Linked DNA regions of Drosophila melanogaster. Changing the gene in region 4 together with the main gene of any one other region gives a genetic interaction. Each region holds a gene or a part of one and is shown on either strand. Other genes may lie near its edges.

Region 1 (4,796 bases), on a different chromosome or scaffold from region 4:
ATCGATTTGTTGAACAGTTCCCTTTTGAAATATTTTGGAATTTATGAAAGCACTTTTAGAGATGCAGTTCTGGAATTTCATGTATTAATAGTTTGAATGAGGCGGTAATATGGTAATACTCGAACTAACCTACTTTAAAGCCCAAATTTCCTAATACAACACCCCATTTGAAGCCCTTTTTTTCAAAACACAGCCGACAGCTTTATAAAACAATGCTTTGTAGTGGCAAGAAAAACCCGAGCATATGCAGCAAAAACAGGAACAATAGTTGCTGTTCTGCATATAAAAAGCAAATTTACACTTTTTTGCCCACCGTTTTTGCACCGCCCTTTCCGAGTTTTTCGAATGTGTTTGAGCAACTTTAAGGAGCGGAAACGCAGAGTTCGCGATGGCCGAGTAAAGTTCACATGTCAGTCCGGCATCAAAGTGTGACTTGTCGAGTGTTTTCCCCGATTTTCCACCAGTTTTTCCCTACGACCCGCGGTGCTTTTTGTCCAGGAAATGCAGGCAAAGTGTGAACTGTGCATGCAGATAGAGATCGCCCAGTTAAACAGCCAGACTCGCTTCAATTAGTCTGGCTGGTCGGTTAGACAGTCCGCTTTTTACGCGCTTATTATTAGATTTTCCAATTCGGGAACGGTAATGGGGGGCTGGCTGGCTGTCAGACCGGAAAACACCGAAAAACGCCGCTGGCCAGCGAGTGCAATGAATAATCAGACGTGGCCAATTGAGTCAAATCAGAACCGACGCGACTATCATCAGCCATCAGCCATCATCATCATCATCATCATCAAATAATGGGCCCAGCGCAATCAGGCAGTTTTCATTGTTTTATTTAAGGCCCCGCAATAATTGCCACGCACTTTGACTACAAACTGCAGTCACGATCACTTCCATTCCATAGCCATGATGACGATGACGACGAGGTGGCCATGATGGAGCACCCGCAGCTCGCGTCCGACCAGGAGCGGAGAGTCACCATCGATGCCAATTAAGGCGAGGGGCGGCAGTTAATTGAATTAAAATGCGACACAAAATGGTGTAGATAAAGTTGCCACCGCACATGGGGCATAAAACAATGAGGGGTGGGGTGGGTGGTTTGAAATTCCTCCATTAAATAAATCGTTTTTGAATACACATCGCTGGCTGCTAATGGGGAATTTGCTCCCAAGCGGAATTCGCGTATTTCTATTGTTCACGGGTTCAGAAGTTCATGTTTATGGGTTTACAGTTAATTATAAATAAATATATGAAATGTAACTATATATACACTCATATTTACTTTGATGTTAAGGCTCTAAATTGAAAATATTTTCGAAAGAGAGTTGAGGTTGTTTTTATTTTTTTTGAAGTAAACCTTTTGAGTTCTATATTCTCTCCTATATATATTTTTATTTTCCCATTATTTAATTATGCCCATGCTGAATCCTCCATTGCAAATGAGTTTAAAATATCGCTTAGGACAGGACAGTTAAGCACATGTAACAGATAAGGTTTATCATTTCCCCTCTAGGAAGTACAAAAACCGAAAACAAGCTGACAAAAACCCCACAAAGAACTGGATAACGACACTTACCTCCACCGAATCCTGCTCCCGGAAACATGCCAGGCGGTCCGAAGGGCGGCATTTGTCTGGTTCCTGGCCACGGAACTCCACCGCCCATTCCCGTCCAGGCCACCGCCGCGGCGGCCAGTGCACTGAAGGGGGTCGGGCGGATGGGCACATGACCGGAGGCCAGGGCCGCCGGGGAAAGTATCGTGGATTGCATGTGAGAGCCCGGCGGCGGACCGTGCGGCGATTCCAGCGACTTGCCGCTGCCGTCGAGGCCGTCGGGCGTGGAGCGCGGCGAGTCGTCGGCGTTCATGTCCTCGATATCCACAATGGAGTCCTCCTCCTCGTCGTGATCGGCCTCGTGGTCCTGCAGCATCTCCTCGTCGTACTCCAGCTCGGAGTCCGTGTGGCTGCCCAGCGGCGAATGGCGTTCATTTTTGGCGGGAGTGGAGGCCACATTGCCCTGCGATCCCAGTGCGGATCCCAGTGGCGTGGAGCTGGGCGTGGAACTCGTGGAGGCGGGTGGCGAGTTGGCCCGGGCGTCCGCCTGCTGCTGCTGTTGGCGCAGCTGGGCGGCCATCGCCTGGTGCTGGGCATGTGCCGCCGCAGCCGCGTGGGCGGCCTGCAGCAAGTGGGCGTGGTGCGCGACGGCGGCGGGATGGAAGGTGTTGGCGGGAACTTGGGCGGCCGCACTGGCCGGCGGAGGCGGCGGCGTGCTGCTGGCCTGGGAGATGGGCGAGGTGGCCGCCGAACTGGTCAGGTTCTGGGGTCCATCCGCCGCCTGGTTGGGTGGCGTTCTGGGCCTCGTGTCCGCCAGGAGAGAGGCCACACTAAAGTTGCTCAGTCGGGAGGTGGTCTTGTGCAGATGGTGGGCCGGCGGATGCACTGCGGCCAGCTGGAGCGCCGCCGCCTGCTGCTGCTGTTGCTGCTGCTGCTGGTGTTGCTGGTGCTGCTGCAGCAGATGCTGCTGATGGGCCAGCAGCAGTGCCGACGGCGAGGTGGGACTGGCCAGGGCATTCAGGCCAGCCGGGTGGCTAGGACTCAGGTTGGTCAGGTTGCTGCTGGTCATGTTGCCGCTGCTCATGTTGCTGCCGCTGTTGCTGCCGCTGTTGCTACTGCTGCTGGTGATGATGAGGTTACCCGCGGGAGTGTTACTGCTCGGCGGCACCGTGGGACTGGTCATCGTCTGGCGCAGACCTGTAACTGTCATGCTCGCTGGGCTGAGCTTTAACATAAAGCCTTTCGATCGTTTGTGTAACTGTGGCTCGTTAATACTGTGCTTTAGGTGCGCCGGTTAATTGGTTCATTGAGACATGGTCTGCTGTTAATTTGTTTTGATTATCTTTCAATTAATGCGCTCGTTCGTCACACGCTTGGGAAACACAGACACACACTGTCACACGCGGCGTTTTGTATCTTTTCAGGGGCTATTTATTTCCAGAGAGAGACACGTCCTCTTGAGATCACGTCTGTTCTGCGACTGAAACTGTGGTCGCAGTTTCGGATGCACCGCTGCCTGCCACACAGATACTCACTCACACCGACGCACTCGACGATTGGTGGTGGGAAACCGGCTGTGTAGAGCGTGCCTCTCTCTCACTCCCGTGGTGGAGTGCACCGCGTGCGACACCATTTTTATTGGTTTCGAGACTAGCTCGCTCGCTCTTTTTTTCCGGTGTGAGTCTTGTATTTCTCCACTTTTCTGACTTTTGTTCCGCCTTCTTTTCTCTTTCGCTCTCGCTTCAGTGTGGTGAGTTTGCCGCACTCTTGCCGTACAGACAGAGATGGTGTAGCTGCCCCGCAGTATAGCCGTCCCTGTCGCACGCCTAATTATTATTGAATAATTCAATCTTCAAAGCGTTTTTCCACTTTTTTTTCGAGCTGCTGCGCGTATTAGCATTTTATAACAAGCAGCGGCGGCAAACGCCTGTCCATTTCCACTTTGGTTTTCTGGCTTTTCCTTCCATCTCCATTTTCCCTCTATCTCCCTCTTTATCGTTTATGACTTCATTTGGCCAAATTGGCGTGATTTTTTAAGCTTTATGTACGCCTAATATGTACATATATATGTATGTATATATAGACCAGGCGGTTTTTCAATTTTAATTGGCACTCCTACATGTCCTTAGCGTACAAGAACAATATAATAAATAATAAGCCCATCATTATCAGGGCCCCAAAAGCATCAAATGTCGGGTGGAGCGGCATTATCGCAAAGCTGCAATCTCGGTCAGGAAATTATGTTTTTTCTTCCCTTTTGCTCCACCTCAGGAGATAAGCCATAAAAATCGGATCGGTCCACATAAATCGAACGTCCCGGGAACCCGGCCGAATCAATCACATACATATAAATGTGAAATATGCAGGATTATATAGAATTTTGCCAACCCCCATAAGCTCCATAAATTGCAAGGTTGGCGGGTGGAGTGAGGGAGGGAGCGGGAATACCGCACCCTTTATAATTCTCGCTCTACAAATTAAACTCATTTTAAGGATTATTATGTGAAATTGTTGGCTTGAAAACTTTTGCCAGCCATTGTTCAGCTGCTCCTTTGTTTTCCGCTGCTCGAAGGACCAAGTTGTGAAAATGGGAAATGGGCGTCGGATTGTGCGGGTTCGCTCGGCTTTTCGGGCGGCAAGTTGGTGAAAGGATTTTAATGACAATTGCCAGTGGGTGGAAAATAAAGAGCTCAATTAGAACAGTTGACGAATGGCTGTGTGGTTGCCTTAATTAGTTGCAAACGATGCTGAAAATGAAACGACTCTGCATGATTGGGGAAATTCTAGCCAATTAATTTGAGTTCTTGCCTAAATGGGTTGGGTGAAATTTAGAAATATTTTTATATAATTTCTGAACTTTTTTCAAACTCTTTCCGAAATCGTTTTTAATTACACTTAAAAGAAACCAAGACAGTAAACTCGTTTATGAACTTCTCACATTTCCCAGCCATTCAATTAACACTTGATATACCTCTTACCACTTTTCCAACGCCCCTCTTGACTGATTAAAATTTTTCCAACTTCCCAAAACTTGAGCTCTTCATTACGATGCCCGGCAATTCCGCTTTCTTTTCAATTAAACATTTCGAAATGGCGGCAAAATGCGATGAGAGGCCCCTCAGCTCGTTAATATCATTGTCTGCGTCTCGTTTTCTATACTTTGTGCCGTTGGCATAAACAATTATAGCCAATTACAAATATTAATTTCTCAGGCCAAGCACGTCGAGCGTTTCTTCTTTTATTT
Region 2 (4,770 bases), on a different chromosome or scaffold from region 4:
GGCCGCAGAAATATCTGCAAATGCAGCGAATTGTGCGCAGATTTGTTTACAGAAGACTCTCCGAGTGGCAAACTGAGGGAAGACGGATTATCGTGGAGGGAGGAGCACCATGATCATCGTAGATATAATTGACGACATGTTGTCTCACGATCGTGCTAAAGCGATTAAAGCTAATTTAATGCCCGACTCGGAGATTCACTGCACCCAAAATGTATCCACCAAGAAGTGCACTCCCTCACTTTGAGGTCATGCTCGATTTTCTCTGTGGAAAGCCTTAACAAAATGCCATAATCAAATTTCTAGCTTCACTTTTGTTATTTCTTGTGGCTGAATTTGTTGTGGGATCGAATGGGCTCATTGTCGGAATTCCATTGCAATTCTATTGCATGTGTGCATGTCGCCTATTTACTTAAATGCACTTGTTTCACTTGCTCACTTGTAATTACATCCAGGCTTTTAAGTCAGTCTCTGTTGGGCCAAAAATCAAGTGTTGAATCAACATGAATTGTTTAGCACACGATTCAATTGTTTCGTCTCGACGGAGACGTATAAATAAATAAATACGAGACGGCCATGAAATATATATTTATTAGAATAAAAAATGTTAACCGCTATCGGTTTATGACAACTGTTTGTTTAATTGTAAAATATATATTCAGGAGAGGTTTAAAAGATATTTTACAAGTTGCCTACCTTAAAGCTTAACTCTTTTACTAGAATTTCATTTGGATGAAGTTTCAACACACTTTAAAATTTATGTGCTCAGTAATTTGCCAGAGCTGCCCCAATCAACATCAATTGGCTGCCATACTGTCTGAGCATTCTAATTCATTTAATCGAGCTCATTAGTGGCTCTAAACCATCATGTTTATGCTACCCAATTACCATCGGAAGTGATTCACTTCTGCATGGACGGAGAGATAGCCCTGTGATTTTGATTAGATGCCAATTTGTTTATGGCACTCACTAATCCGTCCACAGATCGGATATCCCATATACCATATACCATTTGCCATATTCCATATACCATGTCCCGTATCGGTTTGATTATGCCCAGCACACTTCGGCTCGTCTTACATGAGCATTTCGATTTTTGGGAGCTCCTTCTCTAATGCGTTACGGATCCATCGAACCCAATAAGTTTTAGGCGTTTTAAATTACCCGATATTCGCGTTGCGCGTTTTACGATTGCCATTAAATTTGCTGGCGGTTACCATTGAACAGGCCGAGAAACTCCAACTGATTAGCTTATTAATTTGTTTTATGTGCTCGAATGGTGGCGGAGTTGTTTCGAATTAATTTATTAATTTATGCGCATAGGAAAACCAACTTTTCAGTTGGCGTTCGCCCAGCGGCAAAATCTCATTCACAATGGGCATTGTTCGCCCGCATCCGAGAGATACTTACCAAAAAAAAAAACTAACATAATACAGAGAAAGAAACAACAAACTTTGAGGAAAAGTGGTTTTCGACCCACCCCTGTGCGATATTCTTGGCCCTTCGATTTGGGGAATGGGAATGGGCGGAGTCTAGGCGCATTCTCTGGCCGGCGGAGGGAGCGAGAGAGGCTGCTCCGAGTGCGCACCGCTCACACGAACTCGTTTCGAGTGCCGAGATACATTTAGCCGGTACGAATACGAATCCAAATAATCCGAGCCAGGGATTTCCACTCAAGCAGCGCCGCTGCCGCTTCGCTGCCGGCGTCGCATTGAGCCACAAAAGTCGGCTGTTTCGGTGGTTCAGTCGATTCGAGCCACTCAAAGCGAGCGCTACGGGAACGGTCGATCCGCCCGAAGTCGCAGATAAAAAACCTACCAGATACATTTCGTTCGTTCTGAAACGCTATAACTAAATATATATTCGATTTCAAAACATCGACCATACATTAACTACCTGAAACGGTCGAGTTCACTACCCCGCCACGCGTGTGTGTTTTTGTGTGTGTTGCAAGTGAAAGTAATCGCAAGTCCACAGAATGGTCACCCTAATGCCATACAACTACGCTGCCCCGCGATGCGGATTAATTGACAAAATGATCGAGCCAAAGGTAATCACATAGTCGTAGTGCTCTCCTCGCGAAGCTTTAAAAGTGATGTGGTTGAGATGGCTGTGCCGTCGGTTATTACTATTACTAGTATTGCTAGTGTTATGACTATGATGACGGCGGTAGCTTCCTTGGTGGTTGCGCCTTGTGGGGCTTCACCTAGTCGGGGAGTAGTATCCAAAAAGTGAAACTCCATGGCGAGATAACGCTTCGACTCTCATTTATCAAGCCTGGATGGAGTCTAATATATGTACGAACAACAGTTTAGGATGCTTTAAGCTGATCTATTGGTCGGTGTGATATCATAGCACACTTCATATATAAATCTAGTCCAGCTTGACAACTAAGTCGTGTTCAGATGCTATTCGATTTCATAAATCTAAGCGAATAAGTCGTGCAAATACACTCGAAGAAATACAATTTCATTGGGTTGCTTGAAAATGTATGGAATGTTACTCATTCACAGAGGATTATCAATTTTATAGACCCATCCTGCGAAGAAAAGCGCTTTAATGACTGCTCATTGTTGGGAAATCGTTAATGGGGATAAAGATTATGGGCACCTGACCAAAATTTTATTACAACGCATTAATCGGCTTAACTTTTGGCTGTGGGGTAATGAAGCAAACAAGTTGAGTCCCAAAAGGTCATTAAAAACGCTTAATAAAGTGCCGAAATAGTGACAAACGTTTTTCCAATTCGCTGCTGATGCATTTCTCCCATCAAATTACCAAAGCCTTTTCATTCACTGCACGCTTGCGATGCAAAGTCTGGCCGAGATTAGCGTAAAGTTCGTTTCCCGACGATTTAATGGAACGGCATTCTCCAGGCTTTTATGGGTCCCTAAACTACGGCTAAGACAAAGTCGGATCGAAGGAAACGTGACGAACGTGGAGTGGCCGGATGGCCGGATGGTTAAGGCGAAATATTAATAGAGCATAAATTACAGCTCTAGTGGGTCTCTGGGTGCCGGCTTTATGGGAATTTAAAGAGCCTGGCCCACAAAAGCCAGAGCTGGGCTACGGCATTCGTCCAGCGGCATTAATCACATTTTAATTAAGTTTAAGCCGTAATCGTAAAAATTAACACGCCATAATTCAACTGCGACAATACGCGCTGCATGTAATTTATGACAAAGAGAATTCACATCGGTGTGCGTGTGTGCGAGTGTGTGGGGGGGGGGGGGGCGGTGGAGGAGTCGAAATATTGATTATGGCCACTGCGATTGACACTTGGCGATTGTTGATTATACTACCACGATCGTGGCCCAAAACGTAATTAACGTGCCAAAGTGTTAAGGTGCATGGGATAGGTCCCATGCCATAGCAGCCCCTTCCTTCGATTCCACTTCGTCCACCAGAAGATACAAATTTTCCTCTTGTTTATTTTGATTTTTATCGCGGGGACTCGAGGGGGACTCAAGGGGGCTCAAGGGGTTTGTAGGGGTCTTCGGGGTCTTAGGGCCGGGTTAATAAAAAATTTGTCGCCGTCTTCTTGTCTTGTCTTTTGTTTGCCTGCCTTTTTGTGACCGAGTGTGTGTGTTTTAATCTTCTTCTAAAGCAGCAGAAGAGACAAAGAGATTACGATCACAGGAATTTCGTTAAAGATGCCCACAAACAGGTCTTTATACCACATATCTCCCACTCTTTTCCGCAGCTGGAACCAACCAAGCCGGCCCAACCAAAACCCCCCCAGATACTGATTCGAGTGTTGTCTGTGTTAATGTTTACGTTGTCAGCTTGTGCCATAAATTAGTTTAGTAAAAGGTTGCATTTGACTCTTCCCTTTCCCCCCCCCCTTTTTTTTGTTGGCCCCTCACCAGCTCACTTTTGCATACAACTTCGGACTCGAATTCGGTTGCTCGTGCAGCACGCAATCCTGCAGAATTCGCGACCCGAGATCGCAACTCCAATGCGCAGCTCATCGAAACGCTACCGTTCGGCAATCTGTCCGCTTGTCCGCCGCTGCGCATGCGCGTGTTCCCTTGGTCCGTCGACAAATCTGAGCAAACTGCGTCCTGCTGCCCCCCACCAGATCACCGGATGATGGACAGTGCGTGCGTGTGGTCATCTCGCCGGACGGCAGAAGCTGTCAACCGAAGCCGCTCAGCTTTCGCTCCCTTCCCGCCCTTCTTTTTTTGTTTTTTTTTTTTTTTGTTTTGAGGGACTTCTTTAGGGGTGGAGAGGCGCACAAATTCCAGCACCTGGGCTTGCCGCGCCCCTTAGTCCGCCTTCGATTTATCTGGCTTCCGTTCGATTTGCATACATGTCTTCTTAAGGGGCGTTTTTTTTTGACCATTTGTCAAAATCATTCTGGCAAAAGCTGAATTGTCAAAGCTTTATAAATATAAAACATAGTAAGTGGATGTAAAGGACGTTCTATTGTATGCCTAGAGACACAATCTTTCCTCGAAAGTCTGTATAGTTAAATGTCATCTTTGTTCCATCTAGCCATTTTGCATCCTTATCGAAATCCGCTGCCACCTGCTGCTTTTCCGAGCACTACCACCTCCCCCCCCCCCTTTCCGACTTCCCCTCCAAATGGCGCCGCACATCCGAGTAACAGTTGAGTTAAACTTTTTCCCACGCACAAGCTCGGGCAGCGAAAATCGCTTGGCGCAGCAGCAAATGGCGATTGCGAATTATGTAAAATTTGCTGTTTTCTTTCGCCACTCGCACTGGATAACCCAAATAGAGTTTCAGGCGGTGGAAGTGCCGAGCTCAGCA
Region 3 (7,279 bases), on a different chromosome or scaffold from region 4:
ACACAAACTAAGGCGATCCCGGTGGCAGGATGGAAGAGCCGCTGATTGACATCGCTGAGATGCGGTAGAATTACGCCCAGAATAGAGCTCTGGTAGCTGTGGCTTATATCCGGTATGTGAGCAGCTCTCTCCAGGAGCGCAGACAACGCCTTAAGGGAAGCTTTCAGTATCTCCTCATTGTCATTTCCTGGAAAAGTCTCTGTTTTCAGAGCCTGCCATATCTGATCGAAGTGCGGCTCCAGAACGGAAGGCGGGAACTTCACGGCAGCTTGGTGCTGTAACAATAAATAGCATGTATAAAAAGAGGCATTTCAAAATGTTACGTTTTCTTGCCAGCAGTTCTATGGAGTCCAGTTTGGCAACCAGCAACTCACTCTCCAGCTTTTCTATGGCCAGTACCACTGTGCCCTCAGCGAATTCGTTGTTGGCTACCAGGCAGTTAGTCAACTTCTTGGACAATTCATCACGGGTTATGGCCGCTGGATCCTGCTTGCTGGGATTAAAGTCGATTGGAAAGTAACACGCAAAGATCTCAAACATCTCTTCGGCCAAATGCAGCAGCGGATACGTTGACAAGAACTCGGGCATGAAGCTGAAAATGATGTCAAGGTTGCGGGGGTCACGCTCGCCGTCAATGGAATTGATCAGGCCGTAGACGAAGTCACCGGCCATCGCTTGCAGCTCTGTATCGGGAAGAAAATTGATTTGTTTGAGTTGTAATATTGTGTAATATTTTCTAAAAATAACGGAAATAAAAGGTACTAAGATTGTCGCAAATATCTGTTCGACTAGTTAAAATCATCTAATTATAACTTTTTTGCACACTGACTTGTTTAAATCGGATTAAAGCAATGTCAATGTATCTTTCATGCTAAAATGAAATCAGGGCTCACCGTCCTGGAAGTTTTCCGTCAAGTACTGGAAAATGTGGAACAGCTTGGTGCGGTCGCTCCGCGTCTGCGACTGGCAGGTGGTGTGCTCGAAGAATGACTGCAGAATCTGGGGAATCTGGGCGCGCGGTAGAGCTTTCATGTGAACCAGGGCGTCGATTCCATCGATAATGGCTGGCATTACGTTGTGATGGTCGCGCAGGCGGTCCATGTAAAAGGTGCTGAGGAACTCCAGCTGCCGCTCTTGCAGCAGATCCTGGGGCAGTGCTATCAACACGGCGGAGAGCAAGTTGGTTCCGGCCACACGCTCCTCCATGTCCGGAGAGGACAGGGCGAAGCCCAGTGCCTCGGCCAGAGCAGATATGTCATATGCCTTGGCGGTCAGATCTGGAGGAAACAAAGAATCTCTATGAGAAGGGCACATTCGACACGGATGCGGGTGTAAACCTGCCCTTGGCTATCTGTGTGGCGGAATTCACAAGCTTCTGGTCGCTTTTCAGAGCCTTTTCCAGGGTGGCGCGCGTGGGCGTTGTCATTGCGGCACCGTCGCTTGAGTGGTGTCTAAATTTAAATGAGTTTAAGCACGTTAAGCCGAAATGTTAAGAACCGATAACCGATGACTTGTCGTACTGGCCTTATCTATATCACAGCGATGCCAGACTGGTGTTACAGTAGTGCAAATGTTTTAGCGATTAATATAGCTTTTATTGCAGTGGCGCTCAGGGATGGTAATGTGTGGCTCGGAGACAAATTCTAGAACTGGAAAATATACTTACATATTGTATATTGATTTATAATCGATAGACACGATACGGAGATTTTCTTTTTATTTTCTTGTAATTCGTTGTAAATTTAGAAATATATTTTTAGCAGCTCTGGAAACAATCGATAGTCGCCGACTGTTGCACACAGGGAACGCAACAGGGTGGTCAAGTGTCCGCGCCGATGTATCGATAAGCCCCGCATCACCAGAGCACGCACATCACTAGTATTACAAACACAGGCAGGCAGCAGTTTATTTTAGCTACCGCAGCACCTTAAACTCTGAATTAAATAGTTTACGCATTCATTTTGCGCTCGGAACGCCGCGTAACAAAGCTAGTACACTAATGTCCATAACCGTAAGTCGCCCGCGAACTGCTCAGCTGCAATTGTAGGTGTGCGGCGGCGAGACGTCAGCGCTGCTGTTGTTGTTGCTCTTGTGGTTGCTGCAGCTGCAGACGCCCCCACATAGCTGGAAATAAAATAAGAAGCATAAGAATAAGAAATACGGTGAAGTGTCGAATGCAAAGTGCAGTTTGCTGTGTCCAGAGGCTTGCAATTAACTCAAATTCTATTTAGATCGCATTAATTCGACCCATTGTGCGCCCGTGTGCGTGTGTGCGAAAGTGTGTGTTGTGTGCCGCTGAAACCTGAGCTGAGTGTGCGTGTGTGTGTGCGAGCGTTAATTTTGTTGTTTTTACTATTGTGTTTTTTGTTTTTTTTTTTTTTTTTGCATACGACGATTTGAGTCGAGTTGAAAGAATCATTCAAAGCCAACAAGGTCGAACGCCTTATTCGGCTCATAACTACCTAATACATTTTCCAATCGGCATTTGGCCCACGTCCCGCCTTGGAGGCGGAATTGAAAATCGGAGCGCGTTGCGTTTAAATTTGGTGACAAGTCGGCGGCTGTGCGCCTGATAATTTATAATTAGCAGCTCACTTGGGTCGTTGCCACTGGCATCTTCTATTATTCGCAATTGTCGCCGGGTTTTCCACTTTATTCGCTTCTGGCTGGGAGGCGCACTTTCCATTTTTACCTGCAAGGCGAGCCAGCGAATGACGAAGTCGCTTCCGTTCTATTGTTCCCCTTCCCACCCAGCAACACTTGGAGAAACTCACGCACTCGAGCGCTTTAATTGGAACTAATCTCTGTCTCTCGTTTTTGGCTACAATGACGACAACCTGTTCCGATCGCCAGTTACTGCGAGGTGGCAAGCAAAAGACAACCACTTGCGTAGGAATGACCGTAATGGCCAAGACTACGTTTGAAGAAATATGCGAGAATGCCAAATTAGCACGGGACATGGCTCTGACGGGCAACTACGACTCAGCCTGCATCTACTATGAGGGCCTCCAGGGGCTGCTCGCCCGCCAGCTGAAGGCCACCGCGGATCCGCTACGCAAGGGCAAGTGGAGCATGGTAAGACATTCCTATCACCACCTCCAGATACTGTCAACTACCATGCCAATGAATGCGAATGGTGACGGTTATGACAAACAAAGGACTTAGTCATAACATCTTGTCAACGCCATTCAAAATTGCCCAAGAGGTTTTGTGTAAACGAGTTATCTAGATCGTTAACGTGCATATAAAGATTTAATTTAATCAGAACACTACCGAATGACTAAAATTTGAATTACAAAGTAATTTCTAGCACTACTGGCACAAAGTAACTGGCTAAAACTCCAATAGATCATAATAAACCAAGTATTTTCAAAAAGTTTAATATTTACCATACCGGACGATTTCATTGACATCATTTAACTAACTGATCTTCGATTTGCAGATCAACCAGCAGATTAGCCAGGAGCACGCCAAAATCAAGGCCATTCAGAGAACCCTACAAGACATCTCGCTGGACCTACAGTCAACCAAATTTGCACACAAGCTGCGACACCAGCTCAGCGAAGAAAGCACCACCAGTAAAGATCCATCTGCCTGGTTCAAGCCGGACCCCGACATTTGGACGCCTCCGCCCAAGGATCCAGATGTGTGGGGTCCGCCGAAGCCACCACCCACCACTCAGGCCGTTGGCCGAAGAGCCGCACCGAACAACCGCCGCACCACTCCGGCAACGCAAAACAGCCGCCCCAGCAGCACAATCCCGCAGAGCACTGCCCGGAATGGTCCGGCCTCGACACGCAATTCCCGCAACTCAACGTCCGCCACAGCACCGAGCGGCGGAGCACGCACCACCAATGGAAGGGCTGGCGGTCGCAAGCTATCCACATCGAACACCAACGAGGCTAGGGACGACGACTCCACCGCTGCAGGCAACAATGGCGGAGCGGCTGGCGATGGAGAAAACGGCGATCCGCAGGCCGCCCAAGAGGAAGAGCGCAAGTTTCAGCCCAACAACCACATCGAAGCCGAGCTAGTCGACATTCTTGGTAGGTGCCTAAATCGTTGCCGCAAGGTTTGCCTCGTTCAAAATTTGGTGATGTGCTAGTCTTATTTATTAAGCAAAGCTAATGCATTACTCTACTTGCTTTAAGATTTGTGGCTATTTCAAAAATGGTAGTAGTTATGAAAATTTGGGTCTAGTATAGCTACATTTATTACATGCCAACGCTCTCTTTTCAGAACGTGATATTCTTCAAAAGGATCCCAAAGTGCGCTGGAGCGACATTGCCGACCTGCACGACGCCAAGCGGTTGCTGGAGGAGGCCGTCGTGCTGCCAATGCTCATGCCGGACTACTTCAAGGTGCGTCACCCCCGCTGTTTGTTTTCTGTGAATCACATTCTGCCAAACGCTTATCTCGCGATGGGTCAACAAACGCGCTTTATTATAGTGCTCAGGGCAATGTGTATTTGATCAACTATTCTGAACTGTCACGAAATGCATCGCCTTGCAGCTTTATCCCTCTTAACTAGGTGGTGGAACTTGTCAACACATTCTACTTTTACTTGGGGCGGTTTAAAAGTTTCCATTGTTGAAATTATGCTGATTATGATGTACCTCTATCTATGTTATCTTATCAAACTATGTGTGCGTTCAAAAGAATATCGATCCATAATAACCTGTCGAAAAAAAATAAATAATTATGTATATATTATGTATATATATGGAATGCTGACCATGTGTTTCTAACGCCTTTAAGTCACATTAAAAATCACTGATCCAAACACCTGAGACTGAGCTCGATTGCTATGTTGACCGTGTTGTACCATATATGTAAGAATATTTGTTGTTTTCAAATATTTCCGTCCAACAAATATTTTCCCCATCTAAAATGTGGATACCATGAAATTTTGCGTGGGCGAAAGATGTTTGAAATGGGCATCAGAGAAGCCTACAGCACCATTTTTCGATTTACCATCTTACTGAATAAACAATAGCAAGAAAGATAGACTTAACGTGGATAGTAGATAATTAGATATTTATGTTTGATTGGAAGAAATGGTACTCACTTCTCCAATGTAGATTATTTAATTAATTAGAATTAGGCAAATGACACAGCCTAAAACAGTGGTTCAGATCAAAACAATCGGAAAGTATACAATTAATATATACTGAAAGTTTGTAAACATTTTAAAGCAAAAGTACATAATCACTTCTTGCTTTCTACAACAGGGTATCCGGCGACCGTGGAAGGGCGTGTTAATGGTGGGACCTCCAGGCACGGGCAAGACAATGCTCGCCAAGGCGGTGGCAACCGAATGCGGAACTACGTTCTTCAACGTGAGCTCGGCCACGCTGACGTCCAAGTACCGAGGTGAGTCGGAAAAGATGGTGCGGCTCCTGTTCGAGATGGCCAGGTTCTACGCGCCCAGCACAATTTTCATCGACGAGATCGACTCCCTGTGCTCGCGCCGAGGATCGGAATCAGAGCACGAGGCCTCGCGACGAGTGAAGTCTGAGCTGCTGGTCCAAATGGACGGCGTGGGCGGCGGAGAGGAACAGGCCAAGGTGGTCATGGTGCTGGCCGCCACCAACTTTCCTTGGGACATCGATGAAGCGCTTCGGCGTCGTTTGGAAAAACGCATTTACATCCCACTGCCATCGGATGAAGGTCGCGAGGCGCTGCTCAAGATCAATCTCCGCGAGGTCAAGGTGGACGATAGCGTCGATCTTACCTACGTAGCCAACGAGCTGAAGGGATATTCCGGAGCTGACATCACAAACGTGTGCAGGTGAGTTCAGAATACACTAATTTAAAATGGCGTAGTCAGTTCCAAATCATGTCAATGGAATAAAATGCGTGCTCTTCTTTTTCCAGGGAGGCCAGCATGATGTCGATGCGGAGAAAGATCGCAGGACTGACCCCAGAGCAGATTCGGCAGTTGGCTACGGAAGAGGTGGATTTGCCCGTTTCCAACAAGGATTTCAACGAGGCCATGAGTCGCTGCAACAAGAGCGTGTCCCGGGCAGACCTGGACAAGTACGAGAAGTGGATGAGGGAGTTCGGATCGTCATGATGGCGCTGCAGACGCGAATGGCTAGCGATTGTAGGAGTATATTTTTGAATAGCCTTAAACACGCGCTTAAGTCATTAAGCTTTTAAAGTGAGAACCGAACCGATCCGAGCCGAACGGAAGAGTTGAACATATTTTATATATAACATTTTGCAAATACGATACAATCTATATATTTACATATATACATTGAACCGGAGGCCGTTGGAATTAGAAAAGACTAACCGCTCTCAAAGAGGAAACACAAATGGAAAACTGAAATTGAAATTGAATTGCAATGAAGTCGAGAGATAGGCAATACGTTTATGTATACATAGCGAAAACCACCCACACACTCCATGAGCACAAACCTTCCAACAAATCGTTAACCCACAATCACACTATATGCAATAAGGAATCGCTTTAATCGCCGCCTAGCCTTGGCCTCATACTCCCACAATATGCACACTCCAATCCGTATCATTTTTTATCGAAAGTTTTTATTTTAACAAGAAATGTCCACTGTCTAATATTAATGTTAATTTTCGCTTAATTTATACTTTCACATATACATATATATCATAGTTTAGTGCAGGCAGAGATGTGTGTACCAGAAAGTTCCCTCTGATTTGCAATTAACCCACTGTAATCAGAAGATGAAACTGAAGCAATATGTACTTAAAGAGAGGATTCTGAAATTTTAAACAATAAAGAAGTTTTTAACTTTACGGCATTAAGAGTTGTGACTTTTTTGGGTGCTTTCTGCAAGGATAAATAAGGATAAAGGTCTTGCAAATGATGCTGATGATGTTATGATTTGATTATTATTACAATTAAATCACTGTTACGAAAATGCTGTGATCCCCAAAGAGAATTTATATCTAGATACTAAGCGGATGTTGCATTTGTATGACACAGCGGTAATTAATCTTTTCTAGAAATCAAGAGTCAGGGAAAAGCACTTTATTATGAAATCCAAGAACGTTTATCTGATGAAAGCACCCTTCGTTCACCGCTTACCAAATGTACAAACTTGCCTGCTGCAGACTGATGCGCCATGGCAGTTAATTCGCTGAGGACCAAGGACCAAGGACCAAGACCTCAGTACGGTCTGGATGGCGGTGGCATGGGCATCAGGGGACCCATGATTGGGTAAGGGGCGGAGCCCCCAGACGCGGGATAGAATCCGCTGGAGGGCACGTTTCCGTAGGCTGGCAGAGAAGTATT
Region 4 (4,831 bases):
GATGTTGACTAAAGAAAACTTAACTGCCACGAATTCAGTATACCCTTATTACGTATTGTAGAGTAGAATTCTAACAGAGGGATGAGATGGTTATATTTTCTAATAATCACATAACATGATTAACGTTTATTATACATAAATCTACAATTATTAAAGATCAAATCGGTTTATACACCAATGTTTTACCAATGATTACTGTTACCGTTATTTTGTCCTTATGTGCCCATCTCTTATAATGTATTAGTATATTTTACGCACTTTTGTAAGATGGGCCTGTTTACAATAAAAAAAGATGTAAAATTTAAAAGAATCTATAAACAAATTATTATGAGGCACTGTACCAATTATAATGGTCTGAAAATACTGCATGTATTCGCATTTACTCTTGTCAATATTAAAATCATGAGAATTCAGCTGTGTATATTCGTAAGGAATAAGGACCCAAAATCTGTGCCGACGTCCACAACCAATCCACCCAATCAGTTCCGACTTAACCGGGGTTCTTTGAAAGCCCTCTTAAGTCAACAAGCAACAATAGCAACAACGAGGTGAAACATTTTGCCCAAAAATAAAGTTAAATGCGAAGGCTAAGTCGCACAAACATTTCAAATACGTAATACATGTTTTAAAACTTTCTGCGAAGAGTTCAAAAAGCAGCGGCGAACTTATGTATGTAACAGCAGAAGTATATTAACAATTACACTTAAAAAAATTTCTTTTTCAACGATTGAATCAACGTAAGCTGGTTGAAATTCTGAAAATGCATTGCAGTTAATGGCAAATATTTTACATTATTAAAATGTAACCGTAACCTCAACCAAAACTTGCCAAATATATGTAAGTTACAACCGGCAAAACACTCAAAATGTCAAACATTTGTGGAATCATAGTGAATGCATACCACAAAAGCTGAATATTTATAGCTGTAACTGCAATAAAAGTATTTAACGTTAAATCTGCTCCCTAAGCCATTTGGAGATTTGTGTGCACTTTGTTTCAAGCTTGTGCGGAATTAAAGGAGAAGTGACAGCAAGGTTCTATGATGACAGTTCTTATTGGAAGCAGGCGACAACTTGGGCGTAGTGCTGGTAGCGTTTGAACTGGTTGAGAATTATAAATACACCTGTCAAACGAACCTATATTCTTTCAACATTTATAGCGTCAGCATACGAAAACACAATAAATAGCTCTCAGTAAGTTAGTTACAACTTTTCTGCATGATGTTTTCAGCATGAAGACGGCATATATAGACACCATGCATCTTTTCATTACACAACTAAAGAATCAGCAGAGTCAACCGAAGACCCGCTGGTGTGAGAGTTCGTTCCCCTGTGCGTCCTCAGACCACTGTTCGTCCTCTGCGAGTTGGAATTCCTGTCACGGACTCCGCTCGCAGCTTCCAGTTCGAGTCTGGAGTCCATCCTCATTCATGTGGCGTCTGGCGCACAGCTTATACTCCTCCTGACTGCTGCTACCGCTGCCTTATTCACGTTTTGCAGCCGGCCAACTGTCCGGTGGGCGGTGCGTGGGGAGGCGATTTCGGCTGGTGCGAGAGCGCGGATAGAACACCACGCCCTCTTCGTCTACTGGCTGTGCTCTAGAGCGGGAACGAGCTACTGACGCTATCAGCTGAGAGCGCCGCCATTTGCCACTACGTGAGAGCTGCGGAATGAGCGTGTGTGCAAGCAGGATGGCAGCTCATGCGCGACATCGCACTCACTCACACTGGCGCGCGCACATCACGCACGCAAACACACGGCGAACGGGGCGGTGGAGTTTTTTGGCTTCTGGCGCTGCGCTCGCACAGCGTCCAAACATTCCCAGTTTTTCAGCTGCGACGGCTGGTTGTCCTCACGATTTTGAGTAGATCAGCTGCAGACCAAAGTCGGTAGTCGAGTTTCGAATTTGAGTCGGTTTTTGTTTTTGGAAGCGGTGCGCGTATTCGATTTTTGTTTTGACTTGAGCTCGGCTGTAGTTTCGGTTTGCCAGAACTGGATCGAAGGAGAATCGACACAGAAACAGGGAGTTGGCGAAACGGATACAAAACTGAAGTTGGATCGGTAATCGCCTGCCCGGTCATAAACAACAACACAAGGGAGCACAGCCGCATACGCATACGCGCCTCTGTCTCTAATGCCTTATCAGTAACAGGCATCGTCGAGTGTCGTAGGAAGAGCCCGACAAAGGCCGACCTTTACCACTCAATTTGGATCTGATGTGCCATTCTCGCGCTGTCTCGTAAATTAATGTCATAAATTAACTTTAGATTTCTTACGCTAACCGGTGGTCGTCAGCGGTCCGAAAACGCCTTTGCGCTCGAGATACAGGGGCGGTTTCTAATCAATACAAATATCCTACCTGCCGCCGAGTCAAGTGTTTTAGTGAGTGTGTGACCCTATGTTCCTTATATTACCTTGGTGCTAAGGAGAAAGTTTAAAAAAAGCGGCATTCAAATCGTAGTTTGTGCAATAAGAAAAGGCAAGCCAATGGTGTCAATCTCTAAGACAACGCCGAAGTGATGCATGTCCGCAAAGTAATAGATCAAGTTGTGCGCACACTTATTACCGGCGAGCCTAGCCGGGCATCTAATCGTGGCCAGTGTCAAGTGTCCAATAGCACATCTAGCCGGGGTGTAGAGGATTACCCAAGACCAACGTAGCACCGCAGCCCTTTTAAGGAGGCATAAGGCTCGCAAGACACAACGCACAGCCTACACAACGACAAACATAACACGACCGACGGACATCATCCTTGGAAATAGACCTCGTGTCATTCCAAAAGACGCACATGGGCGTCTGCACCGAGGAGCGCCCTGTGATGCATTGGGTAAGTTCTGCCGCCGTAGCACATAAAATCCAAAGTTACCAGCGATAAGACTAAAAAATAAGTCATCCACCAGTCCGTCCCAGCTCACCCAAACTCTGCCCTTTGTGATTAATATTGATCCGAGCCTGGGTTACTCGGAGTTATCAATACCAGACTGAAAGCTTGCCTATCAACAGACAGCCCCACTCAATATCGATAAGAAAGCCGCTTGGGCATTTCAGATTAAAAACAGTTCCCAGAAGTGTTCAATCAGTGGCTAGTTCGCTCGTTGAAACATTGCTGTAGAACGCGGTTACAAAATTTCAATGTGATTCCCTGCCTTAATTTTTATTCATCTAACTTAGGTTAGAATCATTTAATGTTTAAGAAGGCAGATTTTTGATGATAGTCGTACTAATCAATATACAATCAAATTGGGCGGCATAGTCGTGCAAAAAAATTAATAGATATGTAGAAATCAAAATACAGGTAAAACAAATATGTACGTTTTTACGAAATTTTTGTATATATCTGATATTCGACGCGAACGTATTCAGTTTTAGAGAATAATCACCGTGTGCCAATATATACCAATTTGATATATTTTAATAGTAGTCAATTGACCTTCAAATACTAATTTTTAACGCGAATAAGGCATTTTCTACCACACAGAGATATTCTTGTACCATTTTTTTGAAAAGAACGAATTGCCTTGATGAGTTACATGAACATCTTTTACCTATTTTTGATTTTGTCATTTTTAATTGCTATTCCTATTTTGAAACATAACGCATTCCTTATACTTTATGCAAACAATTTTTTGTTACTTTACAACTTTGGTGTTTGAAATCTGTGTGTTTGTTTTAATTCCCATCTTTTGTATGTTTTCCAAATGTCATCGATTACTGTAAATCGAGATGTACGAGTATTCGAATTCTAGTCTATATATACCACATCTATATATTGTACAAGAATTGTATAAGATTGTATTGTATAAGAATAGGAAAATCGTAAATAAATTGGAAGAGTAAAATGGTATGAAACATTCGTTGAAAAGTATGTAACAGACAGATGGAAGGGTTACCGACCCTTATAAGGGATATCCTTGATTAAGGTCAATAGCCGAGTTGATCTGGCCATGTCCGCCTGTCCGTTCTTTTATTCGTCCAACCGTCCGTCCTTTTAAACGTTTTAGGAATTGTAAAAGCTGAAACCTAGTCTTGAACATTCATATTGTACTGCCGTTTTAAAGTATTTCCAAGTCCACTAAAACAAACTCCCATATCTCAAAATTCTTTCTTCCTAAAGTATTCGAAAATGTGTTGATGATGTGTTTACCTGATAAATTCGGCACATCGATCAAGTTACGAAATTGATTAAATTCGGACTATTAAAAATTTTATAAAAGTAATTTTAGAGTTTTTTTTTTCAAATTTTTATTTTTGTACATTTCTTTTTATATATAAAAGTCGAGTTCCCCAACTATCAGATACCCGTTACTCAGCTAGTGGGAATGAAAACGCAACATTTCATCATTTTGCTGGAATATCGTTAGATATCGGTGAATAAAATGAACAAAAATTTAAATTTAAACCGCCAAGAAATACGCTTTTGAAATATGTTTTGATATTTTTCATGTTTTATAAGTCTTTAAATTTTTACCGATTTGCCAAAAAACTCTTTGACATGCACAAACAGCCCAAAGCGGCCACGCCCATCTTGATGAAAATGTTTTGGTATATTTCCGTTTTATGTATGTATTGTAATACCAAGAAAATTTTTAACACACCCTTTCTAACTTATCATTCGTCTTAATTTTTTTTCCAATTTCTTTCGATATGCAAAAAAATTGAAATTTATTTTTCGCAGTCTGCCTAGCTGAGTAACCGATATCCAATAGCGAGAAATAGACAACGAATTCAAATACATTTTTTTGTAGCTGTCATTTGCCCGTAATCAAAATATCGGAAACATCAATAAGTCCTATTGTTAAGTTTGTTACAAAACTCAATTTTAATTCAATTCA

Evidence for each region.
Region 1: of ap (region 4) and Dr, changing one suppresses a phenotype caused by changing the other (phenotypic suppression), as found in Drosophila melanogaster (one study listed by BioGRID).
Region 2: of ap (region 4) and eya, changing one enhances a phenotype caused by changing the other (phenotypic enhancement), as found in Drosophila melanogaster (one study listed by BioGRID).
Region 3: of ap (region 4) and Kat60, changing one suppresses a phenotype caused by changing the other (phenotypic suppression), as found in Drosophila melanogaster (one study listed by BioGRID).

The regions. Positions count from the first base shown.
Region 1 is NT_033777.3:29,554,626-29,559,421, reverse strand, and holds the start of Dr (drop), read right to left. Parts: upstream 3,037-4,796; 5' UTR 2,787-3,036; coding exon 1,577-2,786; intron 1-1,576. UniProt on the Drosophila melanogaster protein: Plays a key role in the specification of proneural and promuscular cluster formation. Required for the specification of dorsal and lateral muscle progenitor cells. Regulates development of peripheral nervous system derived from lateral neuroblasts.
Region 2 is NT_033779.5:6,533,106-6,537,875, reverse strand, and holds the start of eya (eyes absent), read left to right. Parts: upstream 1-1,764; 5' UTR 1,765-1,975; coding exon 1,976-2,047; intron 2,048-4,770. UniProt on the Drosophila melanogaster protein: Tyrosine phosphatase thought to play a role in transcription regulation during organogenesis through its intrinsic protein phosphatase activity. The phosphatase activity was shown in vitro. Appears to function together with So and Dac in eye development.
Region 3 is NT_033777.3:5,226,789-5,234,067, reverse strand, and holds Kat60 (katanin 60), read left to right. Parts: upstream 1-1,858; 5' UTR 1,859-1,999; coding exon 2,000-2,011; intron 2,012-2,754; coding exon 2,755-3,075; intron 3,076-3,442; coding exon 3,443-4,046; intron 4,047-4,239; coding exon 4,240-4,361; intron 4,362-5,231; coding exon 5,232-5,791; intron 5,792-5,877; coding exon 5,878-6,076; 3' UTR 6,077-6,779; downstream 6,780-7,279. Other genes in the region: Mms19, read right to left, coding at 1-275, 334-683, 894-1,277, 1,342-1,426; Vps37B (vacuolar protein sorting 37B), read right to left, coding at 7,154-7,279.
Region 4 is NT_033778.4:5,723,816-5,728,646, reverse strand, and holds the start of ap (apterous), read left to right. Parts: upstream 1-1,814; 5' UTR 1,815-2,787; coding exon 2,788-2,826; intron 2,827-4,831. UniProt on the Drosophila melanogaster protein: Required for the normal development of the wing and halter imaginal disks.